4 linked regions of the Caenorhabditis elegans genome follow. The protein of the gene in region 1 purifies or fractionates together with the protein of each later gene. This does not show direct contact. Each region holds a gene or a part of one and is shown in the gene's direction. Other genes may lie near its edges. The genes, in order: sdhb-1, cex-1, nduf-9 and idhg-1.

What was found.
Region 2: the proteins of sdhb-1 (region 1) and cex-1 fractionate together in Caenorhabditis elegans (co-fractionation; one large-scale study listed by BioGRID). This does not show direct contact.
Region 3: the proteins of sdhb-1 (region 1) and nduf-9 fractionate together in Caenorhabditis elegans (co-fractionation; one large-scale study listed by BioGRID). This does not show direct contact.
Region 4: the proteins of sdhb-1 (region 1) and idhg-1 fractionate together in Caenorhabditis elegans (co-fractionation; one large-scale study listed by BioGRID). This does not show direct contact.

What each region holds. Positions count from the first base shown.
Region 1 is NC_003280.10:9,348,151-9,355,361, reverse strand, and holds sdhb-1 (Succinate dehydrogenase [ubiquinone] iron-sulfur subunit, mitochondrial), read left to right. Parts: upstream 1-2,630; coding exon 2,631-2,700; intron 2,701-3,347; coding exon 3,348-3,496; intron 3,497-3,547; coding exon 3,548-3,781; intron 3,782-3,827; coding exon 3,828-3,956; intron 3,957-4,128; coding exon 4,129-4,353; intron 4,354-4,402; coding exon 4,403-4,492; 3' UTR 4,493-4,648; downstream 4,649-7,211. Other genes in the region: cup-15 (Coelomocyte uptake defective protein 15), read right to left, coding at 1,190-1,323, 1,372-1,809, 1,853-1,979, 2,046-2,174, 2,222-2,362. UniProt on the Caenorhabditis elegans protein: Iron-sulfur protein (IP) subunit of succinate dehydrogenase (SDH) that is involved in complex II of the mitochondrial electron transport chain and is responsible for transferring electrons from succinate to ubiquinone (coenzyme Q).
Region 2 is NC_003280.10:5,446,015-5,452,094, forward strand, and holds cex-1 (Calexcitin-1), read left to right. Parts: upstream 1-1,666; 5' UTR 1,667-1,668; coding exon 1,669-1,783; intron 1,784-1,826; coding exon 1,827-1,879; intron 1,880-1,932; coding exon 1,933-2,253; intron 2,254-2,300; coding exon 2,301-2,426; 3' UTR 2,427-2,620; downstream 2,621-6,080. Other genes in the region: nmr-1 (LITAF domain-containing protein), read right to left, coding at 1-186, 246-328, 459-590.
Region 3 is NC_003281.10:3,241,073-3,251,607, reverse strand, and holds nduf-9 (NADH dehydrogenase [ubiquinone] 1 alpha subcomplex subunit 9, mitochondrial), read left to right. Parts: upstream 1-3,032; 5' UTR 3,033-3,034; coding exon 3,035-3,195; intron 3,196-3,324; coding exon 3,325-3,535; intron 3,536-3,824; coding exon 3,825-3,880; intron 3,881-4,445; coding exon 4,446-4,788; intron 4,789-7,749; coding exon 7,750-7,904; intron 7,905-8,509; coding exon 8,510-8,627; intron 8,628-9,492; coding exon 9,493-9,744; 3' UTR 9,745-9,891; downstream 9,892-10,535. Other genes in the region: Y53G8AL.3 (CUB domain-containing protein), read left to right, coding at 1-147; Y53G8AL.4 (Apple domain-containing protein), read left to right, coding at 1,070-1,091, 1,764-1,837, 2,056-2,241; Y53G8AL.1 (FHA domain-containing protein), read right to left, coding at 10,345-10,452.
Region 4 is NC_003281.10:4,566,571-4,574,445, forward strand, and holds idhg-1 (Isocitrate dehydrogenase [NAD] subunit, mitochondrial), read left to right. Parts: upstream 1-2,442; 5' UTR 2,443-2,453; coding exon 2,454-2,579; intron 2,580-2,621; coding exon 2,622-2,834; intron 2,835-2,883; coding exon 2,884-3,012; intron 3,013-3,063; coding exon 3,064-3,168; intron 3,169-3,213; coding exon 3,214-3,426; intron 3,427-3,502; coding exon 3,503-3,646; intron 3,647-3,691; coding exon 3,692-3,880; intron 3,881-4,493; coding exon 4,494-4,565; 3' UTR 4,566-5,295; downstream 5,296-7,875. Other genes in the region: mlcd-1 (Malonyl-CoA decarboxylase, mitochondrial), read right to left, coding at 1-83, 131-343, 393-548, 595-770, 816-1,042, 1,091-1,213, 1,262-1,396, 1,446-1,547; Serine/threonine-protein kinase sel-5, read right to left, coding at 5,546-5,637, 6,187-6,685, 6,984-7,289, 7,339-7,452.

The sequences.
Region 1 (7,211 bases):
GGGGACCAACGTAGTGCTCAATTTGTTGTCATTGTTTAGCTTTTGAAATCTCGAATGTATTAGAAAAGCGGACAAGGTGACATTCGTCGGCTAGGCTCAATAAGAGAAATATCGACAAAAAATGCACACACATTTCCTGCATTCGAGTGGCACCAAAAGGAGGTGCTGCTGCAGTTGCCGATTTGACAAACATGGAAGCCAAATTGACGAGAACTAAAAAAAGGAGAGAGGAAGGTATTGAGGGGAGTGTTGGGAGCACCGACGTGTGAATGAATGACTGCAGCAGCTTGAACACCTGTCTGGTACACCTGGTACCGGATATGGATGTCTCGGAATATTCCCAAGAATAAATTATCAGGAAATTACTTAGATGTCGTATTCGGATGTTATAAATGGCTCAGGAGGACTATTAATTTTCAATTGCAATGTTTTTTTTGTTGAAAAATTATTGCTAATTTGGAAGAAAAAAAGTGAAAGCGGTTGACTGGTGTCCATCCATCGAACAACAACTATTTACATGGAATGAACCCGACCGATAAGAAGGCTGCGCGCGCGCCGCCGCTTCTCCTCCGGACGATATACGCGCATCCCTCTGTGTGTGTTAGAACAAACAGTGTATCCTCCTTCTTGGCCGGACGGAGGAGAAGAACTCGTCGTCGTTTTTCACTTTTTCACCCGGATTGTTGGGTTAGAGCACGGAGAGCAGGAGCAACATGCGGTTAACAAGCTCGTTAGGACGGTCATTTCGGCGACTTCTCGTTTTTGTGGCGAGTGGAAGAAAACCAACATAAAAAAGTTCGAAAGAAACATGTGAGAAAGTGTCTGAATTTTGAGATAGATTAAGTCTAATTTGCGGGAGAGAAGTGTATAGATGGAGCATCTTCAGGAAATCGGAAAGTTAGAATTTTGGAAAGAAGAAAAATAGAGTTAGAAAATAGAAAAATAGAGTTCAGGCAAGGGAAATAGTTTGAGAAAAATAGATATTCGTGATGATAATTAACATCAAAATAATTTAAATAGAATTCGAAGTAATTGAATTTGAATTGCAATTTTATCACAAATATACAAAAAGAACAAAGTTAGCAAGAGAGCATCACAGGAAAGAGAACACAGGCACGTATTCGGCAAGGACTAGGTTTCGAAATTAAATTTCAAACAAATATAAGAATTGGATCAATTTGAGCAATTGTTATCGTGTCTGATGGATTGGTACATTGTATAACACAGAAGATCCTGGAGAAACACGACTAACAAGATCTGCATCCGACATTCCCGATGAAAGAAGACGTGATCTTTGGCCATGTGGATCTGATAGACGAGCATCTGAACGAAAATAATATAATATATTTCAAGGAATACAGAAAATCTTACATTGAATAAGACGCCTCGTTTCACCGCCACCCTGAATGTAGCTGGCAGCATAAAATAGAGCTGTGAGCAGCAATAATGTTCCAAAAGTGATCATAATTCCAAATAAATCACGATTTCTGTCTTGTTTTTCAGCACATTTCCACACATCATCCCATAAATGAATTGTATCGTTCATCGTAGTCTCCACGTCGACACAAAAATCTACATCTGGAGTTGTGTAGATTTTCCAGTAATATCCAAAGAGTTCGTCAAAGGTGGTCTTGCAGAGATTACAGATTTTACTTCCATTGGTAAGATTATCATCCAGTACACCTCCAGATGTGTAATTAACAACACAATTTCTCCATTCATACATTCTGTTCTGAAATTGCATTGTCCTCTCACTGAATGACACTTCCGATTTGTTTTGCGGAAAATTCCATTTAATTGTTATGCAGGCTGAAAAATGGGAATTTATGATTTTTTTTGCCGATATACTCACAGTCACATCTGGATTTTTCCCAAATTTCTGAAGTTAAAGCTTTTGATATATCCGTACTGTACGAGAGCAGATAATTGTCATAAATAACTTGAGAGCAAGTTCGATTATCCAGGGAGTAGACATTATTCTGTAATAAAATTCATATTTTATGTGAAGACGGTTTTAAAAAATATTGTTTTCAAATTATACTCACCAGGTTTTTTGTTTCATATTCAAATTGTTTGAAATTAATGTAGTTTTGAAAGCATTTTGTGCAAACTACAGGTGGAATTGACCAGTTTGTGGCGCATGCTACCATTTCCGATTGTACAACAGCTAGTTTCTGAAATAAAGATGTTTAGTTGCATTAAATACTTCGAAGAATCTTACTTCCACATATTTTTGACAGGGTCCATCCAAATCCCAAGGATCATCAGTGATCGGCGCTGTTTCGAGCCGCTCTTCTCGAAGAGAAATCACGGAAAATATAAGTAAGCTGCAGAAAAGTATCCTTGAAAGTGAATTTACCATCTGCAAAATAATTTTTATTAAAAAGAAAGCATTTTCTAGCTTTAATATAGTTTTAAAACTAAAATAAACAAACAAATAAATAAAAAACAAAATAAATGTTTGCCCGTAAATCCACACTCAAACTATAAACAACATGCACTGCGTTATTTCGGAGTCTCGTTACAAAAAATAAATAGTCACGTCCATTATTGTCTCATGTTTTTCAACAAATTTCTTTGTATTTACATTTTAATTTCTATTAAACTTTGATTTATTGAATAAATCTCAGATGTTGGCCCGTTCGGCTCGTCTTCTGCACTCGGCGGAGCTCGCCGCCAACGCCATTCGTGCTGCTTCGGGTACGTTTTTTAATTTTGGTAATTTTCCATCAAATATGGTACTTCGTGTGGAATACTAGAAAAATTAAATATAAATTATTTAGGAAAGCATTTTTTAACGAGAAATATTAGGCTTTACCCGAGATTTCACAAGGTTTCGTGTTTTGCACGTAGGCAGCACTTTTTCAACGTTACTATTTTTTAATAAGACGACAATTTTTTATGTTCAGCTTTATTTTGTTTAATTATCTTTGAATAATTTTTCTAACATTACATGAAATTGGATATGTCAGAAAATTATATTATGTCTTCAAAAACTAAAATTTTCCATTTTACACGTAGGCACTGAAAGCTGTAAAGCTCGGTCGTGTTATTAGATGAAAAACGCAGATTTTTTTTTAAAAATCAAATACTGTTCCGTAAATATTAACCATCATTCAAAGTTCTGTTAATTTAAAAATATCAGTTTTGGAATTTCTTGAATCAAAATTTAAAATTCAAAAAATTTGAGAAAAGGGAATTTATAAATTTATAGCAAGACTTTATAATAAACAAAAATAATGTTTTGAAAAACGTTTTTTTAATTTTGTTTGAGCTCAACGTTGCAAGAATAATATTTATCCCTTAAATTCACCATTTTTAACACTATTTTATTGGAACTGTTTCAGGAGCGCCAGCTACTGCAGCGGCGGCTGAAGCCTCTTTTCCATCAACTGATGATGTAGCCGCCAAGACCAAGAAGACCGGAAACCGTATCAAGACGTTCGAGATCTATCGTTTCAACCCAGAAGCACCAGGAGCCAAGCCAACTGTGCAGGTTGATTTTCAAAGTTTTTTTTCTTTTTTTAAAATTTAATAGTTATTGTAGAAATTCGATGTTGATCTTGACCAATGCGGAACTATGATTCTCGACGCTCTCATCAAGATCAAGAATGAGGTCGATCCAACTTTGACTTTCAGAAGAAGTTGTCGTGAAGGAATCTGTGGATCCTGTGCCATGAACATCGGAGGTCAAAACACTTTGGCTTGCATCTGCAAAATCGATTCGGATACCTCAAAGAGCACCAAAATCTACCCACTTCCACATATGTTCGTTGTGAAGGTATTGTTTTAGAATCTAAAAAAAACGAATAAACCTTTTATTTTAGGACCTTGTCCCAGATATGAACCTCTTCTACGCTCAATATGCCTCTATTCAACCATGGATTCAAAAGAAGACCCCATTGACTCTTGGAGAAAAGCAGATGCACCAAAGTGTGGCTGAACGTGATCGTCTTGTAAGTTTCAGTATATTTTCTGGTGCAGAAGTATTTGAAAAAGCATAACATAATTTTTAACTCAAAAAAGTTTTAAAATGAAAAACATTCATTTTTTCAAACGAAATAAAAGTCTAAAATCAATAATTTATTCATGATTATCACAACATTATAAAGTAATTTATATATTTAGGATGGTCTCTACGAGTGTATTCTCTGTGCTTGCTGCTCCACGTCATGCCCATCCTACTGGTGGAATGCTGATAAGTACCTCGGTCCAGCTGTTCTCATGCAAGCCTACAGATGGGTCATCGATTCTCGTGATGACTACGCCACCGAACGCCTTCACCGTATGCACGACTCTTTCTCAGCTTTCAAGTGCCACACCATCATGAATTGCACAAAGACATGCCCAAAAGTTAGAGTGTTCTCTGTTTTATATCTCGACTTAAACGAATTAATTTCAGCACTTGAACCCAGCTAAGGCCATCGGAGAGATCAAATCGCTGCTTACTGGATTCACATCGAAGCCAGCCGCTGAGCCATCAGCATTTTAAATAAGAAAATTCCATTGTTTTGCCTAGATTCGATGTAATATTTAGCTCTGGTTGATCGATTGTCGCTTCTTTTCGAAATACCCGAATTATCTATCCCCGTTTTCCGATGTCTATACCACGAGCCTCCTCTTTTTGCACAATAAACGGAATTGGTAGATAACTGTAAAAATTTCGTTTGATTAAAATATAAAAGTCCCCGAAAAACATTGCACAATGAACATTCATTTCTATCAATTCAACTCTTCCTAACCTTTTCGTGTTCTTTACTCTACCGACCCAATCTGAAACAAGTATGATCCTTTGTGTGTGTCTTCCTCTCCCAGGGTCGAGACAAAAACATAATTAGTTCGATAATATGATACTGACAGGTTGGCTTGACAAGTAAGATGAGAACAGGAGGACGGAAAATTAAGACGGAAAATTAATTACGGGAAGTTAGAAAACATTGAAACTACCCGGATGCTGAGAACAAAATACAAAGGTTGTAAATATTGACAAAATTTTTTGATTTTCAGTTTGAAAAACCTTTTTTTCTTTTGAAATTTCCCATGTCAATTGCAAGAACTTTTCAATTTTCTGCTTTCAATATGTTTTCTTCACTATCATAAAACTACTATCATAGATCTATTAATTTCTTAAAAATTAGAAAAAAACTTTCGTATATTATATGTACAGACTTCAAATTTTGTCATTTTTGCGCCGAAAATACGGTATCCGGTCTCGACACGACATATTTTGTGAAATTTCAAAACGAATGCCCTTTAAAGAATACTGTAGTTCCAAACTTTATTTTCGTAGATTTTTCATAGATTTTGATTCAAAAAAATATTTATTTATTTAAAAAGGTACTGTAGTTTTGGCGCAAAACACGGGTACGGTTGCAGAAAAGTTCCGCTCGTGCCAAGACCCGAGATAGTTCGATTTATTCGGTTTATCAGTTGAGCGATTCGACTCATAATTTTTTAAAGTACTATGGGATTTGTGTATTTTTACCCCAAATTGAAAATTAAAATTGAACTTGATATGTATGTATGTAGATCAAATTTTCATACTACTGTTATGGAAACATTGGAAGGACGTGGAAACGGAATTATTATTTCTCTATAAAGTATTGTATTTATGAATAAAGGTTTTAATCACAATTTCTCGTACAATCAAACTCCTCATGTTCATAAATATCGTACAATTTTGTTTTCTTGGTCCATAATGTTTTATAATATTACGTCATGTGCAATTTCATAAAGTTATTCGAACTCTTACATTCAATTATCAATTTTGGAAACAATCTGTCACCAAAAGGCAAGCCAAGACTCTCTGGGGGATCACATAACTTCATAAACTCGCCAAATTTCGTATCTTCAAACTTGTGTATCTTGAAAAATAAACGTCTAGGAAACAAATACTCAACTGATAAAATGTTTAAAAATATTTTATATATTTTTTGCATTACTTTACAGTTTTCAATATTCAAACTATTTGTTGAGTTACACAGAGTAAAAGCCATTTTACCAAAAATCACAGGAATTTTTGAGAACTCTTCTGTTGTACCAGTCATAACTCAACATCGATTGAGTTTCAGAAGTAAAATGTTAATGAATAATAATTGCAAGATATTTTTCCACATTTTATCAGTTAGAATTTTTTTGATATTTTTATGTTCAGCCAAGTTACAGACCGTTTTTCGAAAAAATATCGACTTGAAATTTTGAACAATGATCACTTTTTTGAGGTTTCTACAATGTCCTAAAAAATCTTTCAAAAATGTTGGCTCATCTCCAAAATCGTCCTCCGCTCTGAAAAAAGAAAGTGGACCTTTGCCTTCCGAAAAATGGACGAAAAAATGAAATTGAGCTTTTTTGGTCGAAAAAAATATTTTTAGAATGCTGAGAACACGTTAAACACGAATATCATGTTTATTTTGAGATCCGGATGTTCTGAAAACGTCTGACGTAGATTTAAAAAAGCATCGATTTATTTTCATTTTCAACGTGAAAGTTTTGTGCAGCTTTTAGATTTCAAAAGAATCTCAAAATTTAGAGTTTTGAGATTCTTTTGAAATCTAAAAGCTGCACAAAACTTTCACGTTGAAAATGAAAATAAATCGATGCTTTTTTAAATCTATGTCAGACGTTTTCAGAACATCCGGATCTCAAAATGAACATGATATTCGTGTTTAACGTGTTCTCAGCATTCGAAAAATATTTTTTTCGACCAAAAAAGCTCAATTTCATTTTTTCAGAGCGGAGGACGATTTTGGAGATGAGCCAACATTTTTGAAAGATTTTTTAGGACATTGTAGAAACCTCAAAAAAGTGATCATTGTTCAAAATTTCAAGTCGATACGTTGGATATGAAGAGTTTTATGAGCGAAATTGGATTTTTTCGAAAAACGGTCTGTAACTTGGCTGAACATAAAAATATCAAAAAAGTCTAACTGATAAAATGTGGAAAAATATTTTTTTTTTACTATCCAACAAAAATTTAATTCTGAAACTCAATGGATGTTGAGTTAAGACTGGTACAACAGAACAGTTCTCAAAAATTTTGGTAGATTTTAGGAAACTATCTTTGAATCAGTGTAACTCAATAAATCCTTGCTACTTTGTAATGAAAATTGATGCAAAGGGAAGAAAAAATATTTCTAATAGTTTTGTTTGTTGAACATTTGTTTTCTAGAACTATAGTTTTCGAGATACGTCAGTTTGAAGATACGCAATTT
Region 2 (6,080 bases), 3.9 Mb from region 1:
GCATCTCTAACCATTACTCCAACAACTGGAAGTTTGTAAAATGAAAGTGTATATGCTGATGATGTAACCAAATCAATAAATCTTGAAGATGATGTCAGTAATGGAGAAAATATAACAGAAGCCAATGAGTGATTGAGCATCTGGCTGCACACAATATCCTGAGTCAATTCCAGACGATTATCTCCACTGAATATAAGAAATGTCTTTCTCGGGGGAAAAGCTCAACAAATAATAATTTCGAAAACCTTTTTGCATCTACAAAAGCTGCGGAAATAGTGTCATTCCCCAAGTGATATGATGTGCTTCCAAAAACTTCCACGAATGCCGCCTGAAAGAAATTAAGAAGAAAAGTTGAAAATATGATATTTTGTGAATATGAATATGCTAATTTAAAAGTTTGGAGCTTCTTCTATAATGCCGAGTTTGTAAGTTTTTAAAGTAAAAATTTCAAAACTTACCGTAACGGAAACTTTCAATTCTTTGAAAGTTTCTTGATTCGGCTCAGAAACAATTAAAACTGATACTTTATAGTCTATTGTGTATCCCAATTGTAAAAATATCCAAATAAATATAACTGATATTCGGAACATATCTGTAACAAAACTAAAGTTTGTCGTGTTCCAAACAGAAGCAAGATAATTGAAATTTTGGAACTTTAAACGGGTTTTTAAATGGAAAGTAAAACGAGGTAGTAGAAGGATGGAAATAAGAGAAAAGTGGCAGTGCTCTTCTCTTTTCAACAAAAAAACGTATTCTACTTTCACCTCTTCTCCTTCCGAATAAGAGAAAAGAAGACGAAGAAAGATGATTTGGTGGGCACATTTGAGCAAAAGGAAAACGGGCGAAATTGAGTAAAGGAAATGGGTTGAAAAATGGGTGGAGCAGTGAGAAAGAGCACTGGATACTAGTTGATTAAATTATTTCAAAATTCAAATTGTTCTTGAACGGTTATCAGCGGATATTACAAAATCCGTTCCAAAAAATTTTTAGAACTCTATCGAAGAAATTGAAATTTTAAACGTTTTTTTGGAAATTCTGAAAATATGTCAACTTTTTGTTGCTTCTGTAATAAAAAATTACCACTAAGACCTTCAAACCAAACTGTGTCACGAATATTTAGATCTTTCTACTTTCAGATCACGACGTTTGAACGATATGCTCAAAATACAAAACATTAAAATTCAAGTTTTGGGCATTTTTCTTTTTCAAACTTTTTCAAAAGATAAATTATTTTATTAGTTCAGAAGGGTATATACGAGAAGTATACCACTTGATTTTTTATTTCAAAAGCGACACTGGAGCTCCTACCCCGTTCTGACATATGTCTATTCAGAATTTCTTGGGTTCATCATAACATCATAAGCATTCATCTAAAAATACCTCCTCAAAATCCTATTATTTTTTCGATTTCCTTGTTTCCTATGAATCACATAAGTATTCCGTGTAATATCTCGTGCTGTGTGCGGGCGTCGCCGCAAGGAGGAGCTATGATCATCACAAAAGAGCACTTCAATTCGTACACAGAGGGGCGGAGTCAGACATTCTAAAGTGAGATAAAAGCATCTTCACAACCCATGGAATGTTCATTTCTAGATATTTTTTCTTGATTTCTAGACTTTCTCAAGTTCATAATTTTATAATTTTCAGTCAAATCTTATACTTTCAGAAATGGTTGTTGCAAAGCCTACAGCAGCAGTTTCCATTGAAGATCTTATCAAGAAACATTCCGATGTTGATCCGTTCCTTGTCAAGAAGTGGGAACGCATTTTCTCACTATTTTTTGGTTAGTTTTCCCACTCTTTTTTACTTTCAATTATATGTTTCAGATAGAAATGCTTCTCATCAAGTCGATTGGGGAGATTTTTACTTGGTTGTCAAGGTGAGAATTATTTTTAGAATTCTAAATTCTATTATTTTCTTTTAACCTTCCAGAAAGTCCGTGACATTTACGGAGCTGAATCAGTTCAAACTGGCTTTGCCAAGAAATCTCTTGCTGCTCTCTGGGAAGGACTGTGCTCCATTGCTGATGCTGATAAGGATCAATTGATCTCGATTGATGAATGGATCGGACTTTTGAAGAAGACCGATGCGAAGACTGAACCAAAATGGTTCAAGGACTATCAGAACTTTATGTTCAAACTTTTTGATGTTTCCTGTGATGGAGTCATGGATCTTGCCGAGTATACCGATGGAATGAGTACATATGGATTTGATCAATCCGAGTGTGATGCAGCTTTCCATAAGTTTTCAGTGGTGGGATTTAAATATTTTTTTGATTAATTTAAAAGGAATTATTTCAGGACAAGAAAGGTCAATACGTTCCACAAATGAAGCCAGAGACCTGGAACACATACTTCCATCAGTTGTTCTACTCAACAAATAAATCTGACGTTGGAAATCATCTCTTCGGAATTATTGACTTTTAAATTTTCCTTGCTCTATACCATGTACATTGTTCATCCCCCACACCCTTAAAATATTCTGAAAACCCTTCACTTTCCACTACTTTTCTAATGCTTTACAACATATAGTATTATTTTTGAACATACAACCTTTAATTTGTCTCTGACACCAGATGTGCTTGAGCATAAAAATTCAGATAAAATCATGACAAACAAGTAATTTTGATGAATGATCCTCCAGATGTTTGGGTAAAATAAAAAGTTTCCGAGAAACTTTAAATTTTTATAGTGGCTCGGGAAAACTCGGGATTGTTTGTTGGTTGGATTGTTAGAAGGGAAAGAGCATAACATACAATGGTTTAATTCTTTTTGCTGACTTTTCAGTAAAGACTTGGCAGTAAAAACTGGAAGCTTACGAAAAGCCGCTGAATGAAGCCATTGTATTTTGCTCTTAGAAGCAGTAACTATATTTTTGCGGTTTCAAAACATATTTGAGATTCAATAAATTGAGAAATTATAGAGCACAAGTGTCGCAAAAAATAGAGGCGCTCGTCATTTGGCTCCAGTTTCTCGCCCTAGTTTGGCCCAGAAATTATTAACGCGAATCAGAAGTTGGCCAAACTTGGGCAAAAGCTGAACTCTGGGATAACGTGCCAAAAAATATTTTTTGAGCCGCGCCTGAGCAAGAAACCGGAGCCAAATGCCAAGCGAGTCAAGATATCTGTTTAATTCAAAAATAATTTATCGAAAGCCTTACTCGTAATGACTGTAAAATTCCTCCTATTCAAAAAGTTGGCTCAATTCCAAGGGTACTTCTTGTTTACAAACAACTACGTGTGTTTTCAGGTATCAAATAACCTAAAAACATTTCTTCTATATCTAAAATAGCTTACCTCCCACCCCAACTGACCCATTTTCTCTCTGTCTCCCACCTGATCTAAACTTATAACAGACAACACATGTGCGTCCATTATTTTTGTGACACTGCGTGGGAAAGAGTGGACCACCAGCTGACAATCCCGGCGATCAGTGATCAAGGGATCCAGAGATTGGGAGAAGATAATAAAATGAATTTAATGGATAATGGAATGGCTTTATCGTGTTTACGAGAAAAAAAAAGAACAGAGGGGAATTTCAGAATGCGATAGTTTAGGAAATTTGAAATTGGAACTTACTTTAGAATCACCGCTTTTCTTCTAGAATCGTGCATCCTTGGGGAGCCTTTTAATCTCAGAAATACTTTTTAAAAAACCAATTTTTACAGTTATAGGCTACGGTAAACACACATACAAACTACATTTTACAGCAATTACCCCTGATCATTGAATCTTTTTTGACGCCCTTTGTAGTCTAAATTATCATTAAAAAGAAGGTCATATCTTCCTGATGACCACTTGGACAATTTGTCGAATTGGGTGGCAGCGATGTCACTTTCTTGCAGAAATGAGATGAACAAAACATGGGGAATCTGTGACTGTGACCGGTGGGAATTTCTGATTTGTTGTTTTGTTTTCTATGTGAAGTTGTTGATAATTGTGTAAAGTATGGGGAGAACAACTGATTGCTGGAGAAAGCATAGGGGAGTAAATTACTTTAAAACAACTATTCCTTTTTTGAAAAAAAAAAGAAAACAAGCAAAAATTCCCAAGTTTACAATTGGGCGGAGGCTTTGTAAAAATGTGATCCTTGGTGAATTTTCTATGGTAGTTCATTTACTTCTGCTTCAGATTTTTTAATCTGAAAGAAAACGTTCGAAAAAATCGCAAAGGAATATTCGCTGAGGATTTAAATTTTTAAAAGCCCCCATTATATTTTCTAAATTTGTGCAAATTGGTTATTGAGCAACTAAAAATTGTTCAAATAGGTTTTTCTGAATATAAATGATTTTTCTATAAATTTAACAGTGTACGAATATTTGTAAAAAGAAAATATACATATTTTATGTAGCCTTGCTTATATTCATAATCTGTTCAAAATATATGTAATTAACAAAATTTAAATTTTGCGTTTTTCAAAGTTCAAAAATATGCCTTGTGTTCAAAAAGTTTTACCAAAATCGCACGTTCTATATCTCAATTTTTCAAATCTTACCACCCACTTGCCCTTTTGATCATTTTGAATCACCGTCTGTAGAAGATAATATCCAACTGAAAACTTTACCATATAATCACCACATTTTCTCGGCGGGATGTCAAATTCTTTTGAAAGTAGTATAACCTTGTACTATGTGTATTGCTGTTTTACCTCTACCGCCATTTAAAGGGGAAAATAAACAAATGTTTCCTTCTCCTTTTCTAAATTGTTTCGACAATTCCTGTTTCATTTGGTAAATGTTTACTAAATCTAAGAAACGGATCATTTGCATATTTTACTTTTTGAATCTCTCTACATCAACTAGTTTCTCTTTTCTAAATGACTATTCGACTATTTATGATTGGTTTCCGTTTGAATAAGCTCTCAAGAAGTATATAACAATTATTTTCCAAACTTTTTAACCACATTTTGTCTTTTTTTTTAGAAATTAAAAAAGTTTTCATCCGCGTCTCTGTTCTACATTAACTGAATAATCAGCACAAAAATTTACTGAATAATCTCAAAATCAACCTTGGGCGCAATTTTCGATTCATAAAAGTACAAGCTTCCATCCAGATACCACTTGAAACATAATAAGAAAGAGATTCACATTGAATTCTCACTTTCCATGCAATTATTTCAACTAATCGGCATCCACAAAAAGAAGAAAAAGAACACTAATAATTAACCATGTAATCGTCACCTGCCTGACACCTCATTCTAATTTCAATTCGTCAAGCAGTTCGATGTTCTTTTTTCCTGCTGACCTCCTCTCTCTCTCAGTGTCCACTTATTTTTATTATACAGTCATCACATCCCCGCAAAATGTGTCCAAATGTCTACTTGTCTACCTGAACAATTTGTTGTTACTTTTGCTTAGTTTTGTTGTGATTATTGTGATTCTTGAAGATTGGTCATTGGAATCTCTTCTTTTATTGAAATGATATCATGAATGGTCAAGGTTGCAAATCAGTCCTTTTATGTTCTAGCTAGCCGATTTTACGGCTACTTCCAAATTCCAAATTGAGAGATATTCAAGAATATGGTTTCAATTTCTCAATTCAATTTTTATAGCGTCTCCAACATTAAATTCTGAGTTTGGTTCCATAATCATCAAACTATACGTCTCCTGTCTTTTGTCGCTGACCTACATCCATCAGCTGGTATCACTTGTTCCCTTTTATTTGTACTATTCCTTTACAATATTTGGTTTTCTTTTGTCGTTCAAAGTGAGACCACAACCATTTAAAAAACATGTCTCTCAATTTATGCATCTCAATTCTGAACAGATGAAAGTGTCTTCGCTTTTTTTATTCTCATTTCCTCTAATGCGAAATGTTCTTCATTTTTTAAAGATGCACAACTTAAATTGATTGAAGAATTAAAATGTTCAACTGAAAATATTGATCTTCGACAGTTTTCAATGAATTTATTTCTGAATAATTGTTGTAGGCAACACGGGACATAATTACAGAAAATGCCTATATCGTAAATATTTCAGAAAAAAATTTCAGAAAAACTGTAAAATTGCTAAATTTGGGATTTGCAATTTTATAGTTTTTCAGAAATTTCTAAAGATTTTCGCATATCAGAGTTTGGTGCAAT
Region 3 (10,535 bases), on another chromosome or scaffold:
CAAAACTCGTGCTCCACCGACACATCTGACTGCCTGGATTTCAAGTATGAAGATGTGAACTCAATTTTCTTCACTATTTGCTGGGATTCCAAAAACTATTCGAATGGGCTTTATATTGAAACTTTGTTCGATCAAATATTATTGTAAAAAATCGCAAAAATCCATAATTGTGTTAATTATCAAATGTAAAATTCCATGCTCAACTTTTTTACAATTTAAAGTTTTTTGATATCTCCAACCGTTAATGAGATACGGGCGTTTGAACTTGGCGAAGAGAGAGAGAAAGAGAAGGGGGAGAGACGCAGACGACGAGAGCGCGCGCGCCGCCTGCGTCTCCCCTCCCCACACTCTCTCGTCACCGCTAACTTAAAACGCATGTATCGGGAGATAACTAGGTTCGAAGTCTGAATTTTGAGATTTTTGAGTTTTGTTTTAGGAAATTAGAATTTTATTGTAACAGGAAAGGATGTATTAACTGATTTTTCTGTGAGAAAAAAGTATAAAAAAGTTTGGAAAAAATTTTTAAAAATGTCCAAAAAAATTTTTTTTAGATAACTTATACCGTGAAATTTTTTCAAATTTCCACTATTTCCAATTACTCTTTTCAAAAATACCCTCTTAATCAATTTTTTCGCTCCTTCACGCCTTCAAGCCCCTATGACGTCACCAATCCCCAGTGAAAGGGGCCCATGCCTACCCCTGCTAAAAACTACAATATACCCCTAAAACCATCCCGTGAGTAATCAAAAATCGCGTCTAGCGCAAGCTTCCGGCTGAAAAATGCAAAAATCCCAAAAAAAACCGCCCAAAATCGTGCAAAATCTCAGAAAACTGGGCGGAAGAGGACACAAATTCGCCTCTTTGGAAGAGGAAATTACGTCGTATTGTATCGAATGACACCTCTCCCGCGCAACACGATATATATAGGGGACCTTTAAATGGAATAAGACCTATTTGCTAAATTTGGAAATTTGTTGGAAAAAAAAATTTTCTAAACAAAAAAATTTTTGTTTCGGAAATTTTTTTTCCAAAAGATTTTTCCGAAATTTTCTACTATTTTTCATCTAAAATGAACGGATTAAACCACTTATGTAAGTTATTGTTGGATTCAGGACCCACGTGGCCTAGAAACCCCATATTCGGGCTCAGTGGCCTAGAAAATCCAGAAAAGTTAGGCCACGCATGGTTTTTAGCAGAAAACCGTTTTTTTTTTCAATTATGTTTCGTAGAAAACATGCATAATTTCATGGATTCCCCAAATTTTTCTTAATTTTTCAGACATGGCTGAGAAAAAAAACCGGAAAAGTTAGGCCATGGGAAATTTTTCACAAAAAGTGAAATTTTTCCGTGAAGAATCTATTTTTTTCAGTTTTAGTATGAAAAATTTGAAAAATTTCGTTGCTTTTCAATAAAAAACTAATTTTCAGACGTGGCCTAGAAAAATAACCGGAAAAGTTAGGCCACGCAGCATTTTTCTAGAAAATTGCAAATTTTTCGAGAAACGCGTTATGTCTTCACTTTTAATTTTGAAAAACGTGCTTAATTTGCTTTTTAATCAAATTTTTTCAAATTTTAAGACGTGGCCAAGAAAAACCAGCTGAAAAAATAGGCCACGAAATTTTTCTTCGAAAAGCTCCATTTTTCCGCGATTTCGCCGCTGGAAATTAACTTTCGGCCAACGTTTCTGTGAAAATTATTTTTTAAAACTCTAAATATCTGCCAAAAAACCACTGTGGCCTAAACAATTCCATTGATTTTTCCAGTATTCTTCTTACTTATCGTCACGTTTGCCGGATTTTCATTTTCCCGCCCCGACCACCATTCGAGGAACTGCAAAGTAAGTGCGCTCTAGCGAACAACGAAGCTGCAAACGCGCTCCATTGAGAATTTTGCTTAAATGGTGGAAATCTCGGGGGTTTCTGGAGATATATCGATTTTTATTCGATATTTCGCTGAAAAAAATTGAAAAATTTGAGAAAAATCATTCAAAACCCTAGTTTTTCGCCGATTTTTTCCGCATTTTTTCAAGAATTCGGAATATTTTTTGATTTCCAGGCTTACCGACGACCGGCTCTAAACGAAGTGCTCACGAGAATATGCCTACTTTGCCATGAAATGTTTTCAGTCGACCAGCCGAATCTAGCCGCCGAGTGCAGCTCGAATTGCTTCAGGAATCCGGCGTTTAACAAGTGTCTCAACTTTTTTAGGCCGAAATTTTCTCCTTTTCTGGGTTCCACGTGATAAATAAATTGGTTTTAATCGTTAAATTTGAATTTTAATTGACTAAAATTGGTTAAATCGAGAAAAAAAAAGAAAAGAACCACAGTGCGGAGTCGAACCCCGGTGTGTTGCGTGAAAGGCAAAAGAGTTACCAGCAAAGCCACAAAGCAATGTGAACGTAATTTTGAGAGGCGTATACATTGTAGCCATAAATGCTTATTATCTCGATAGCGTATAATATTAATAATTGAGAATTTTGATGTCATTTTCAGTTTAATCTACCAGTATTCTTCTGTAATTTCGCACATTTTGAAGAAATCCCTTGAAAACTTCGCATTTCTATTTAATTCAAAGATTTTAATAATTTTTCTTGAATGTAAAACAAGAAAAGTAATATTTCATTAATTTTTCAACAATTTAGATTGAAAACTCTCTTTAAAACCGCCTTTCTCACCAATTTTTGCTAATTTCAAAGCTTCTCATTCCTCCTTGGAGTACGGTCATCAATCCCCGCCCTTCCAAGTGCGCATTCGAGTCCGCAAACGTCAAACCCGACGCCATATTGCGTACAGGCCAAATTATTTATTTCGGCACCGCGTACTTCATTTTCAGCCATTTTTAGCGGTTTTTCCAGATTTTTTCGCTATTTTCGGTGCTTTTTTGATAAAAAATCGATTTTTTCGACCGGAAAAGCTATTTTTAGCTGGAAAAAATCCCGAAAAAACGCAGAAAACCCATTTAATTCTTAAAAAGTCTTTAAAAATCTTTAAAAATCTTTAAACAATTGCAAATCTCGATTTTCCTAATTTCAGCCATGCTATCAGTGTTGGGTAGATCCGGCTTGGGCGCCCGGCAGGCGGTTTCGGTCGTTGGAAGTCAGAATTTCAGCAGCGCGGTCACCTCCGCCGAAAATGCTCATCCGGAGCCACGTGTCAGCTCTCAGAGTGCTCAATTCAGAAAGGGAGCCGGTGGAAGGTACAGGAAAAGCCTAAGAATGATTTGAAACTGGAAAATGTGGAAAAAATCTAGGAAAAATTGAAAAAACATTGAAAAAAAATCAATTTTTTCCCAAAAAAAATCGTTAAAAATTCCAAATTTTTGCAGAGCCTCCTTCTCCGGCAATGTGGTGACCGTATTCGGTGCGTCAGGCTTCTTGGGACTTCCAGTTGTCAATAAATTCGCGAAAAATGGCTCACAAATCATTATTCCGTATCGCCAGGATCCGTATTACATGAGAGAGCACAAAGTGCTCGGCGAGCTCGGACAAGTCCTCTATTTTCCATTTGAGCTGATGGATGAGGAGAGCATTCGAAAGGTATTAAAATTCGTGGAAATTGAGAGAAAAATCGAGTTTTCTAGGTGAAAATCGAGAAAAATTGGATTTTTCTCTAGAAAATCCAGAAAAAATAGAGTTTTCTCAGTGAAAATCGAGAAAAAATGGGTTTTTCTTTAGAAAATTCAGAAAAAATAGAGTTTTCTCAGTGAAAATCGAGAAAAATTAGGTTTTTTCTCTAGAAAATTCCGAAAAAAAAAGAGTTTTCTAGGTGAAAATCGAGAAAAATTGGATTTTTCTCTAGAAAATCCAGAAAAAATCAATTTTTCAGGCTGTAAAGTACTCGAACGTCGTCATCAACTTGATCGGAACTCGTGTGCCGACTGGGTGAGGAAATTGCAGATTTTTGAGCGGAAAAATTCACAAAATATGCCGGAAATTCAAAAAATTCAAATTTCGCGCCGTTTTTGACCAAATAAATCACTCTTTTTCGCTGAAAATTCGAAAAAATGCCTGAAAAACCTTCAAAATGTGGAATTTAACCCTTTTTTCCTACTGAAAATTCAAAAAATAAATTTTTTTACACCAAATTATCATTCAAAATTCAAAAAAAAAGCTCTTTTTTTCCAGTTTTTTCATTGAAAAACTCAAAATTCCTCACTTTTTCCAACTGAAAATCAATTAAAAATTGAAAAATCCCCTTAAATTTTGAATTTGGCTCCACTTTTTGGCTAAAAATTTGAAAAATGTCCGAAAAATCTTCAAAATTTTGAGTTTCGCGCCGTTTTTTTCACTGAAAATTCAAAAAATATTTTTAAAAAATTCAAAAAAAACTAAATTGCTCAATTTTTCTCCAAAATTTTCGAGAAAACTGCCATTTTCTATTGAAAAATTCAAATTTCCCCACTTTTTCCTTCTAAAAATCCCAATTTTAAGCCATTTTTCCTTGCAGAAAGTACAATTACTATGACGTCAACGACACGGGAGCCCGCCGTTTGGCTCGAATTTGCAAAGAAATGGGTGTGGAGAAATTTGTGCATTTGTCGGCTCTCGGAGCAACTACACAACCACAAAAGGGACATTTTGTCGCAAAATCGCAATTTCTTCATTCAAAAGGACTCGGAGAAGTTGCTGTACGTGAAGAATTCCCAGAAGCAACAATTATTCGCCCATCTGTGATCTACGGTGAATTGGATGGATTTATTCAATATTATGTGTCAAGATGGCGAAAAACTCCATTGGATTATGTGTATTTGTACAAGAAGGGAGAAGAAACGTATAAAATGCCGATTTGGGTACGGAATTGGCCGATAATTCATGAAAAATGACCTAAAATACGTGAAAATTGGCCGAAAATGACTGAAAATGGCTGAAATTTGGCACAAAATTAAATATTTTAACGAAAAACTCACAAAAACCGAGATTTTTTGAAAATTTACGATTTTCACATTAAAAATTGTCAAAAAAATTTTATTTTCCGTTAATATTGATTAAAATTATAGAAAAATCCATTTTCAACCGAATTTTGAACGAAATTAATCAAAATTTCATAAAATACATTTTAAAAAAAGCTCAAAATACGTGAAATTCGCCAAAAATGCTGAACAATTACTTAAAATTCAAAAAAATTGAAGTAATTTGACCAAAAAACTGAATTTTAGTCAATAAAAATTCAAAAATGGCTGAAAATTGTTTGAATATTGAAAATTGGGCGAAAATTCATGAAAAATGACCTAAAATACGTGAAAATCGGCCAAAAATGACGAAAAAAAATTTTTTTTTAAAGTAGAAAATTTCATGAAAATCGAGAAAAATGGTGTAATTTGACCTAATAACTGAATTTTAAAAATAAAAAGTCGAAAATCCGTGAAAATCGGTCTAAATCTACGAAATTTCATGAAAATTCGCTTGAAATTGAGAAAAATGACTCAAAATTCATTACAATAAATCCAAATGAACTGAAAAATGTCAAAATTCATAAAAATTGGCCTAATACAAATAAAATGAGTCCAAATATTTATGAAAAGTCTCGAAATTTCATATAAAGTTGCTCAAAATACGTGAAATTCGCTAAAAATTGCTGGAATTTATTTAATTTGCTTAAAAATTAGAAAAAAATTTCAAAATTCAAGGAAATTGGCATAAGTCCGTCTAAAAATTGAATTTTAAATTTAAAAAGTCAAAAATTCCAACAAATCGGCCAAAAATTACTGAAAATTGTTCAAAATATGACCAATTTTTGTTTGAAAATCGGAAAAATTACTCAAAATTCGAGAAACGCTGTAATTTGCGAAATTTTATGAAAAAAAAGCCTTAAAACCATTTAAATTGGCCAAAAATGACTGAAAATGGCTGAAATTTGGCACAAAATTGAAAATTTTCGGAATTTCACCCAAAATTTCATAAAATTTGATAAAACTAGTCGAAAATTGGTAGAATTTCGGCAAAAATCGTATTTTCACACAGAAAATTGTCAAAAAATTGCTAAAAATGACAAATTTTGACTGAAAAACTTGAATTTTTGCTTAAATTTCATCAAAATGTAAAAATCGGTAAAATTCCAGAAAAATTCACCGAAATTTGCAAATTTTGGCTTAAAATTGTCCATTTTTGCCGAAAAAAAATTGATGGTAGGCGGCGGTAGGCATAAAGTAGGCACAATTTTTTTTTTGCGAAAAAATGCAAAAAATGTCCAAATTTCGCATATTTTGACTCAAAACCTCGGCCAAAAATGGTGTAATTTGACCTAATAACTGAATTTTAAAAATAAAAAGTCGAAAATCCGTGAAAATCGGTCTAAATCTACGAAATTTCATGAAAATTCGCTTGAAATTGAAAAAAATGACTCAAAATTCATTACAATAAATCCAAATGAACTGAAAAATGTCAAAATTCATAAAAATTGGCTTTTAATACAATTAAAATGAGTCCAAATATTTATGAAAAGTCTCGAAATTTCATATAAAGTTGCTCAAAATATGTGAAATTCGCTAAAAATTGATGGAATTTATTTAATTTGCTTAAAAATTAGAGAAAAAAAATTTCAAAATTCAAGGAAATGAGGCTTAAAGTTACCTATAAACGCTGGAATTTGCGAAATTTTATGAAAAAAAGCTTTAAAACCATTTAAATTGTCCAAAAATGACTGAAAATGGCTGAAATTTGGCACAAAACTGAAAATTTTCGGAATTTCACCCAAAATTTGATAAAACTAGTCGAAAATTGGTAGAATTTTGGCAAAAATCGTTTTCTCCTCAAAAATGTAACAAAATTTTCGATTTTCACACAGAAAATTGTCAAAAAATTGCTAAAAATGACAAATTTTGACTGAAAATCTCGAATTTTTGCTTAAATTCCATCAAAAATGATGATTTTTTCAGAAAAATTCACCGAAATTTGCAAATTTTGGCTTAAAATTGTCCATTTCTGCCGAAAAAAAATTGATGGTAGGCATAAGTAGGCACCATTTTATTGCGAAAAATGACCAAATTTTGGATATTTTGACTCAAAACCTTGAATTTTTGCCAAAATTCAATTCATTTTTCGCACAATTTCAGTAAAAATAACTCAAAATTTACCATTTTTTGCCGAATTTTCAACGAAATTGATCAAAATTTCGAGAAAATCGGCGAAAAATCACTAAAAAAATCTCGATTTTCTTGCAGGTTGCTTTTTTAGTTTTTAGTTTTAGTTTAAAAAAGAAAAATCGGCCAAAAATGAGTGAAAATTGTTCAAAATAGGCCCAATTTGTTTGAAAATTCAAAAAATTACTCGAAATACATACAATTCGGCCTAAAACTGCCTATAAACGGTGGAATTTGCGAAAATAAGCGAAATAAAAAAAAAAGCTTTAAAAACGTTTAAATTGGCCAAAAATGACAAAAAATGGCTGAAATTTGGTCCAAAATTGAAAATTTTGAAGAAAATTGACGATTTTTGACGAAAAACATACAAAAAATCGTTTAAAAATGTTATCAATTCCAATTTTCGGTAATTTCCCATATTCACTTGAAAAAAATTGTTGAAACATTGCTAAAAATGGCAAGTATATATATTGAATTTTTTGGTTAAATTCCATTAAAAAACGGTATTTTCGCGCGAAATTTCATTAAAAGGAGTGAAAATCCGTAAAATTTCAAAAAAAATTCACAGAAATTTGCAAATTTTGGCTCAAAATTTACCATTTTTTGCCGAGTTTTCAACGAAATTGATCAAAATTTCGAGAAAATTGGCGAAAAATTCCGATTTTCTTGCAGGTTGGAGACGTTGCCGCCGGAATTCAAAGTGCTGTAAATGATCCAACAGCAAAAGGACATACTTATGAATTTGTTGGACCACACTGCTATCAATTGTCTGAATTGATTGATTTCATGTACAAAAAAGCGCATTGTTTGTCTGATTTTGGATTCAGGTACCCGGTTTTTCGATTTTCCCGCCGAAAATTGGCCTAAAATGAAGGAAAATTGCTAATTTTTGGGCAAAAAAATCATGAAAATTGATAATTTTTAACGAGAAATTCATGAAAATTGGACTTAAAAATCGTGAAAACTGGGTCTCGCCACGAAAACTTTATTTTTTTCAAATTTAAAGGCACATGGGTTGTGCATCAATCAGGAAATTTTGAAAATTCGAATTCTCCTCAAAATTCTAGGCTTGTAGCTTTAATCGGGTCTCGCAACGAAAATTTCACGAGTACAGTAACCCGCGAGATATTATTCCGTGGCGAGACCTTAAAAAATCAAAAAAATCAATATTTTCACTGAAAATTGATGATTTTTAACGTGAACTTTATGAAAATTGGCTAAAAAATATAAATTTAGACGTAAAAATCGTGAAAACTACATTTTTTTTTGGGTCTCGCCACGAAAAAGTTGAAAAAAAAAAATTTCTTGAGTACAGTAACCCGCGAGGTATTGTTTCGTGGCGGCGGGACCCAGGCGTGAAATTTCGAGAAAAATCGCGAATTTTTCAATTATTTTCGTGGCGGGACCCGAGAAAAAGCTCAAATTTTTGCAGATACAAGCGTCACGGAATGCCGGATCCATATTTCATGGCTCTCACAATGGCCACCGAACTCTATGGTAAAGTGTTCAAGTGTAAAGTTCCACTCAACAGAGAATGGATGGAGTTTGTGGTAGGTTTTAGGGCTTAAAATGAGCAAAAACGCCTCAAATTTTAGATTTTTTTAATTAAAAATCGGTTTTCCGCCAAAAATCGGGCAATTTTTACGGAAAAATCCATTTTTTAAGTGAAAAACACTTAAAAAAAACTGATTTTTGAGTCAAAAAATTGGAAATTTCGGAAAGCCTACCTACGCCTGCCTTGTGCCTACCGTTGAATTGTTAAATCAGGTAGGCGTAGGCACAATTTTGAGGAATTTTTTTTGTAGAAGTGGCGGAAACAACCCGATTTTCATCAAAAAAATTCGAAAAAAATCGAAAATTTTTTCAAAATTATCGATTTTTAGTCGAAAAATGGATTTTATTGATTTTTTTTTTTGAAAAAAAAATTTAGCGAATAAAATCGATAATTTACGGAAATTATCGATTTTTTGTTGATTTTCAAAAAATCGATAAATTCCGATTTTCCGACAAAAATTCAAAATTTTCTGAAAATTATCGATTTTTTTTGCTATTTTTGTAATTTTCAGATAAAAATCGGAATTTTTTTAAAAGAAAAATCGAATATAAAATCTTAAAAAAATAAAAAAAATTTAATATTTTTAAAAATTACCGATTTTTTGTCGGAAAAGTGATTTTATCGATTTTTTGTTGAAAAATTTCCGCGGAATTTTTTTTGAAACAAAGATTTCTGAAAATTATTGATTTTTTTTTCTATTTTTCGCATTTTTCAATTGAAAATCGGAATTGTTGAAAAAAAATCGCATAGAAAAATTTCCACCGATAATTTTTGAAAATTATCGATTTTTGATTAAAAAATTCGCGAAAAAATCGATAATTTACGGAAATTATTGATTTTTTCTAATTTTGCATTTTCAGGAAGTACAATCGGACATTTTGACGGGCGAAAGAACTCTCGCCGACCTCGGAGTCCGCCGATTGACTGAATTCGAATTGGCTGGTGGACAACAAGCATTTTATCGATCATTTAATCGATATTTCGAAGAACAATATGGAGAACTTCCGGCTCCATCACTTCCACTTCGTTCACCACCACTTACCAAAAAGAACACTGGCCGAGGAGCAACTGGAATCAAGTCGGAAACGAGCAAAAATGTCGCTTTTAATTAAGATTTTTTTTAATCGATTGTTTTTTCGATTTCTGTGTTGTCTTTGGTAGTTTAAATAGAGCGATTTTAATTTTTTTTTGGTTCTAAATTTTTTTTCTAGAAAAAACTGAATTTTGTATTTATACGCGTAAATGAATCGAGAATTTTGATGGGAAAAATTGGTAGATTTGCAAAAATTCTGAAAAAAAATTATAAGAATCCTGAGAAATTATGAAAAATAAGAAAAAAGAGCACAAAAAATCAGTAAAATCAAATTTCCTTTAAAAAATCGATAATTTTCAAAAATTATCGATTTTTGTCCGAAAATGAACGAAAAATCGATAATTTTTGGTAATTATTGACTTTTTTCGGAAAAATAAACTAAATCAGATTTTAATTTGGGCTGTTCCGAAAATTAGCAAAACAAATCAATAATTCCTTTTTTTTCCGACAAAAAATGGATTTCTTTTCGAAAATTATCGATTTTTAAATAAATTTTCACACAGGAACTCTACAAAAAATAATTTAATTAATTCAATTATTGCTTTATTTTTGTATATATCCGACATGAAAGAAATTAAAAAACACAGAAAAATCGATAAAATAACCTATAAAAAATCAATCAATAAAGTATAAAAGGCGGCCGATTTCGCAGAGTCTCCCGAATTTTTTGATCTTCACTTTTCGAGCGGCGTTTCATTGGTGGTGAGAAGTAACGGCGGATTGGATACTGAAAAATAGTCATTTGAAATGAGAAAAAATCGATAAAAGTCGTAAAAATGGCGAAAAATCGATAATTATCGATTTTCTGGA
Region 4 (7,875 bases), on another chromosome or scaffold:
ACTGTTATTGATCCCTCTATGACTCGTATCTCCATTCCAATTCAGTCTATACAACTCTGCGCCGTTTCTAATGTGGAAGTTTGCTTAAAATAATTTTTTTTTCAATGCTTATCGATAAAATCATGCTTACCAACTGAATTTAAAGCCATTCCATTTCGTTTTGCATTACAAAGATAATGAGCACACGCGTACATCAAAATGTGCTGGATTGCATTGAGCTGCTCCTTTTTCGTTTTTTCATTGCTTATGACTTTCAGTAGAGTTTCGGTTGCTTCTACTTCGTTCATTTCCCTTTCAGATATATCAGAAATCCAATTGACAACCTTTTCATTCATAATTGAAGCTGAAAAAACATTGAAAGTAACTCAATTGTCTAAAAATGTACAGCTTACGATATTCTGAATTCCCTTTCAGATTTCTGATAAGCCAAGGTCGGAAACCAGGAATCGGAGATAATGTTGAATGAGTTGTGACTGATGGAACATCTTTTTGAAGTTTAGTGGCGACTTTCTTGATGAGCATATTTCCGAGATCAATACCAGAAAGACCTGAAAACGAATAAAACATGTAATGAATACATTTCTTAAATTTTACCAGGCTGTGTAGAAGTGATTGAATAATAAATTGCAGTTGTTTGATCTTCTTCTTTTCCAGTCGGTGCTCCTCTTTTTGTGATTTCTTGTACACTATCCGCTATCTCATCAACTAATGCCACGTGAACCATCACAAGTGGGTTCCGGGGAAGAGCTTCGTGGGAAAAATAGAAACATCTGAGAAAATGAAATTTTAGTTTTTTATTTTTATTTCATAATTACCGTCTCAACGGACCAAGACGTTTTCTGAAATCTGAAAGTCCTCTAACTGGATGAACTGCCTCATATTCGGCGACTTTCTGTAGAATATCTCCAGGAGATGACCACGTAAGTCGTTCCAATTTTAGATTTCCTAAAGAAAACCATGAAGTTAATACTTCTCTAGTGGCCAGTTCAATGTGACGGAGATATGATGTTGTAGTTTTGTCAGTTTCCCGTTTTAGAAGTGCCTGAAAATAATTATATATTCGATGCTAATTTTATTTTAATTTTAATACCAAAATATTAGCCCTCATTTCACAGACTTGCATAACTCCTCCCGGTAAATTTCCAATTGATTTTATCAAATTCACATAAGAAGCTGTTGCTGATGTTCTTACTTCCGGGTACATTTGATCATTCTGAACTTTACAATTTTTGGTCATACGATGTCAATGATAATAACCAACCTTAGAATATAGAGAAATCGCATGATTTAGGGCTTCTTTGTTTACACCATAGTTTGTGACGAGATCTACGAAAATCGATTTTCGAGTTTCTGGCGTGGAATTGGCATATAATTTGGAAAACTTCTCGCTATAAGTCTGAAAAATAAAATTTTTTCAAATAATTGGAAAATATAGTTCAACTTACGAGTAACTTATCTCCACTTGTTCGATTTGTGAGTCCGTCTAAAGTAGATAATAATGTGGAAGAATATCGAATCGAGTAAAAATGTGAATATCGACGAAGCATTATTTACATCAACCTACAAAATAATTATCTATGGGGGAAAATAACAGTTTCATAGCGCGAAACATTCTCGAAACAGTCCGGGAGCATGTAAATCAGCAAAACGAACAAATAAAAAGATAATCAAGTAACAGTTAACGTTTTAAATAGTAGTTAATAAAATAATAAAGACTTTGTAACTTCAGCCAAAACTATTTCTTGGATACCGATTTCTGTATAAGAAATAGACGCTATTTTTGGAAAAAGGCGTGCCAGGTTCTACATGAAACAACTATTTCAAAGAGTTTTCAATGAAACAAACTTTAAAGAACAATCCTAAGACATTTATTTCTACACAAAAATCACTAATAGATCACCTGATAAGCGCTTGAGACAACCAACAAAACAAAACAACGAAGCAACAACAATTCGGCGGCGAAAATCAATCAAGCGCCAACTGCTGTTCGAATTCCCGGATTTCCCCGGCAGTTGGCTTGAATTGCAATCTAGACTAGAAGTAAACACAAACCAATGAACCCTCAAATAGAGAGAAAAAGCAAAAATATTTGAAATAGATAGAAATGAACGAAAATGGACAAAATAAACATAAAAGACGAAAATGAAAATGTCGCGCGGCGGAATTGCGAGAAACACGTGCGGCGCTTGCAAATCAATCGGTCGGCTCGTTCCGCCCTCTTTTTTTGTGCATATAATTTCTGAAAATTATCTGTTTAGTGATAAATCTGAGTTTTCATAATGATAATGATGATATCGGGAAGATTTAATGTTTTTTGTTAAAGTTTTGAAATATACTATACCCTTCTATTTAAAAAATTGGCTACTATTCTGACATGCACTTTTAAAAGTACATTTTTAAACTGTTGTTTTTCTAGTAAATTCCATTTTTTTAACATTTCAGGTAAAAACAAGATGTCGAGCAACGTCCTCGGTCATACACTTCGCTCTTCGAAGAATGTCGTGCAAAAGGCGTTCGTCGCGACTTCACCGAACTCCGATATGCTCCGATTCCGTTCTCCAGTTCTTCAAACTAACACAGTAAGTAATTCATTTTTATCTGCTATTAATATCAATTTTCAGACTAAGCTGGCTCGTTATGGAGGACGTCACAACGTCACAGTCTTGCCAGGAGATGGAATTGGACCAGAAATGCTCCATCATGTCGAGAGAATCCTTTCAGCAGTTCAAGCTCCAGTAGATTTCGAAGTGGTTAATTTGACCTCAAAGGAAGATGCATCTGAAGATCTTGCTGAGGCTATCACTGCTATCAAGAGAAATGGTGTTGCTTTGAAGGTATTTTTGTTGAAAGATTAAAATCAAATTTAATTTTTTTTTTTTGAAGGGAAACATTGAAACTAAGTTTGATAACCCAAGCTTCGTTTCCCGAAACTTGGAACTTCGTCGTCAACTCAATCTTTACGCAAACGTTCTTCACTGTTCCACTATTCCAACTGTTCCAAGCAGACACACTGTAAGAATTTTTTTAAATCGATTTGTACAAATTTCAAATGAAAAGCTTTAGGGAATCGATATGGTTATCATCCGTGAGAATACTGAAGGCGAGTACTCTGGAAATGAGCACGAAGCCGTTAATGCTCCACATCCTCGTGTTGTCGAATCTTTGAAGGTTGGGATTATCAACTGAGATTTAGTCCTAATTTCAAATTTAAAGGTTGTTACTCGCGAAAAATCGGAACAAATTACTCGTTTTGCATTCCAATTCGCAAAGAAATATGGAAGAAAGAAGGTTACTGCTGTTCACAAGGCCAACATTCAAAAGTTGGGAGACGGTCTTTTCCTTAAAGTAGCCACTGATATCGCCAAGGCCGAGTATCCAGATATTGAATTCAATGCTATGATTGTCGATAATGCTTCCATGCAGTTGGTGGGTTGTTTATTTATTCATCAAAATAAATGTTCTGAAAAAAGACGAATAATTAAAAATCCTTATTTATTTCCAGGTTTCACGCCCACAACAATTCGATGTTATGTTAATGCCAAATCTCTATGGAAACATCATTTCAAACATTGCTTGTGGACTCGTCGGAGGTCCAGGACTTGTTTCTGGAATGAACATTGGAGAAGATTACGCCGTCTTTGAAACAGTTAGCATATTGATGAAAATATTAAATAACATTTGTTTTTTTCAGGGAACCCGTAACACCGGAACCACTCTTGCTGGAAAAGATCTTGCCAATCCAACTGCGTTCATCCGTGCCGCCGTTGATATGCTTCGTTTCCTCGGACTTCAATCACACGCCGATATGATCTCCGATTCATTGTTCCGTACGCTTGTTGATAAGAGAATTCACACCGCTGATATTGGAGGAACTTCTAAGGTAAGAATTTCATTAATTTTCTAAAGTTGTATATATTAAATTCTTACCTTTTCTTTATTTAAAAGTAGAGTAGAGTCGTTTTGGAATTTTGCTCAAGATGATATCCATAAATGGACCGTAATTTAAAAATTTATACAATTTTTCTAATATTTTGCAAAATTAAAAAATAAGATAAGTGTTTCTGAATTTCCGCGCGAATAAGTAGAATAGTTTTTTTGCGTTTTTCGGCTGTACTGAGTGATTACTCTTAATTTTGTTTTTTTAGTATTTGGTATAAAACACACATACATTTTCCGCAAAGAAATTTATGAATTATCGAGTTTTAGGCTAATTTTTGAAATGTTTTCGAATTTATTTCGGTTTATGAAGTTTTCTTTGCGGAAAAAATATTTGAAAAATTGCCGGAAAAGGCAAAAATGTCGGAACTCACATTTTTTATTCTTGCAAAATTGGAAAAATCATAGAAAAAATGTTATAAATTTTTTTACAGTTATTATGGTCCATTTTCGATGATTTTAAGCAAAACTTCAAAACGACTTCACTTTTTAGAACATTAACTTTATAAGTACTTTTTAAAAATGCACTACAAAACTTTAATTTAATAAATTTTCAGTCATCGGAACTCGTTCAATCAGTACTCGACTTCATCGAGAAGGAGCTCGAGGACCGCAACTACCGTGTCTAATTTCTACCTGATAATCGAAAGTTTGAAACATCCCACATAGTGGCTAGCTTTACCCTTACGTTCTTTTCCTCTGTTTTTTTTTCGATTAATCCATGATTCGTAGCATAATGCGTTACTCATTGTGCTCTTTCTCTGTTTGACCCCGTTGACTGAACGTTTCCGCCTGATGTCTCTTATCTTGTTCCTTTCTTCCTCATCTCTGTACCCACAATTTTCTTTGGATTTTAATTTTTTCTGATTGTTTGAATTTTTCTCATTTCCAGTATAGTACAATATTATAAAATTGGTTTAGTGAAATTCGATACTCTGTTAATAATGTTAATATTAGGTTACTGTCACAAAGTTAAGTACTCCCCCCACCAATATGCTCTTAACCTAATTAGTCAATACTTGAGAGCTGCTTGAAAAAAGGCGGAGTTTACTACTGTAGCTACTGTATCTTTTTGAATGCTCCCTAGCTCACTTTAATATTATTCATTTTTTGCCACAACTATTCTATTCTTTATTTCACCAGACTATCTAGGAAATATTGAACTAATACAAATTTTAGTTCAATATACCGGATGGTCTGGTGAAAGCAACATGCGTTGTAAGTTCTTTTTCAAAATCAAATGTCGATCGAACATTTCAATTCGAAATAATTTATTTCGGGTCAGAAAAATTGTACTAAAACTTGCAGAAAAAAAGTTGAAAAAAGAATTAATAAATTACAGAAAATATGCATATGAAACTGGGAGATTGAGTCTATCACAACTACATGCGTGGGTGGATACCAAAATATGAAAATTACAAGGAAAGCATATTCCATATTATACATATCATAAGTACATTGGCGGGAAAATACCAAAAGAAAATAAATAATTGAGAAAATAAGTGATTCTAAATTTGACACAACGACAACTTTGGGGGGAGGGTGAATTGCAAATCACTAAAAAGAACAAATTGTGTAATATATAAAAAGAAATATGAAAAATTCCAGTTTACAAGTCGGTTGGATCATCATGATCTTCCGGTTGGAAGGATGTATTCACAAATGATGCATTTTTGCCAGTCAGTGACGATTTTTTATCTTCTGAAACAGTAAATTTTAATTTTAAATAAAACATTAGTTTTTCTATACGGAAGGGTCGTCGTAAATTATTCTGTTTAAAAAAACCAAAAATTTCAGTTTCTTTTTGAAACAAACTTTAAAATTTTGGTCAGTTTTATTTTTTTAGCGATCGGAAATTTTTTAAAAGAAAAGATCGAAACTTTATTACTTTATTTACAAACAAATATATTGAATTTCATTAGAAAAATATGAAAATTTCTTTTAAAAATTTGATTTTTTGAAACCTAGCCTCATATTTTGGCTATTTTCATATTATCGGATATTCCAGTTTTTCCGAAATTGTTTGTTAACCTTTTTTAAAAGATTAACTCTAAAAAAGTTTTGAAAAATATAAATTATTTTCAGAAAAGTAGGGACTAGATGTATCAAAAAAGGTTGAATTTCATTACAAAAATATTAAATTTTCTTTAAAATCAAAGAACTCAAAAATCTTAAACTCTTTTTTCGTATTTCATAACTTTCTTTTTCAGAATTTTTTGTTAAAAACCGACAAAAAATCTGAAAACTGACTGGATGATTTTTTAACAACTGGAGGCATTGGAGAAGAGAACTGCAAATCATTTGCAACAATTGATGGATGTGATGATCGTAATCCAAATGTGCTCTTTTTCTTTTTCTTATTCGAAAAAGTTGTTGCTCCATCATTCGTCCATATTTCAGCTTCAGATCCATCGGTTTCAGGTTCAGAGGATCCTTTTTCTCGATATTCTTCTAATTTTAATTTATCCTTCTTCCCATCTTTTTTCTCTTTTTTCTTCTCCTTTTTCAACAATTTCTCCTTTTTACCCAAAGCCACTGGAATCGTTGCAGTCGTCTCTTGTGTTGGAGAAGCTTCTGTTGGTTTCTTTGGAAGAGGTGGTGGTGGTGGATCCGTAGGTGCGCCAACAGAAATTAAAGTTCCAATAATTGGCTCACAAGGGACTGTATCAGAGTCTCGAACAGCTTCAGGAAACGATGTATTTGACATTGATGGAATTATTGAAACAGGAGCAGCTGTGGGTAGATCCGGCTGAAAAGGGCTATTATAAAATCTCAAAAATAACTTTAAAAATGAGTTTTTATAAGCTTTTCTACATTACATTTTTTGGCGAAAGTTAGTTTTTTTTCATCGAAAAATATTAAAATTCTACAGCAACGAAAGTTTGAAACTACAGTACTATTTAAAGGCTGACGCCTTTTTTCATTTGACTCAAGTCTGGCGCTTCGAGACCGAGTACCGTAAAATTTCGCGTTATTTTTGTTACATTTTTTTTTTGATTCAAAATAAGAAGAATTTTAAAATATTTTTACAATTTTTCTGTACGAACCTTAAATCGACAAACCAACGGAGTTGCTTGTCTTGGTAATGTGGCTGGTGCAAAGACGTTTTGATGTTCAGACGCAGGTCTTTCAAATACCGTATCTCTCCGATCCGTCCACCGATCTCCAAGATCCCAGTCATCATCCAAGTTATTTTTTGCTGTGGGCAACGGAGCAGTGATGATCATTTTCGGAGTAAGCTCATCTCGGAGAAATGGATTCGTGATAGGATTCTGTGTATGCGGAGTTGATGTTCCAATGAATAGTGGTGGGTAATTAGTAGATGAAGATGAGAATGATGAGATCAGTTCGTGCTGTAATTTTTAAAGATTACAATTTTTGAATGTAATCGAAAAAGCATACATCATCGTCATCCTCCAATCCATCATCTTCTAATAAAGGACGACTTCCACCTTCTCCATCTTCACTTCCAACTGTATTTTGAGAGTCCTCGTCGTGAGAAGTGTCACCGCCTCGCTGAAAAAATCATTGAAAAACTTTTTTTGAAGAAATTAAAGTTATTGTTTTATTTTTAAAAATGTTTTAAATTGTTTAAAAATTTGTTTTTGGTGACAGGCATTTACCAATGAATTAAAAAATATTTGGTACAATTTTTTTTAATTCGGAACTTTTCTTCGATAAGAAATGTTCCAAATAAATAAATATCGTTTTTTTTTCAGATTTTTTGGCAAAAAAGGGTTCTTGCTTGCTTGGTTTTCTGGACCAAAAAATTCGACAATTGAAGTTTAGAAGTGAAAATACGATTATTTATTTGTTTATTTGGGTTTTTGAATAAATTAAATTTTGATACCAGTATATTAAGTTTTTTGGAATATTCTAGAACTTTACTAAACTGTTTCCTTTTCTTTTTTCTTTAGAATCGCGATCATTAAAACAGTT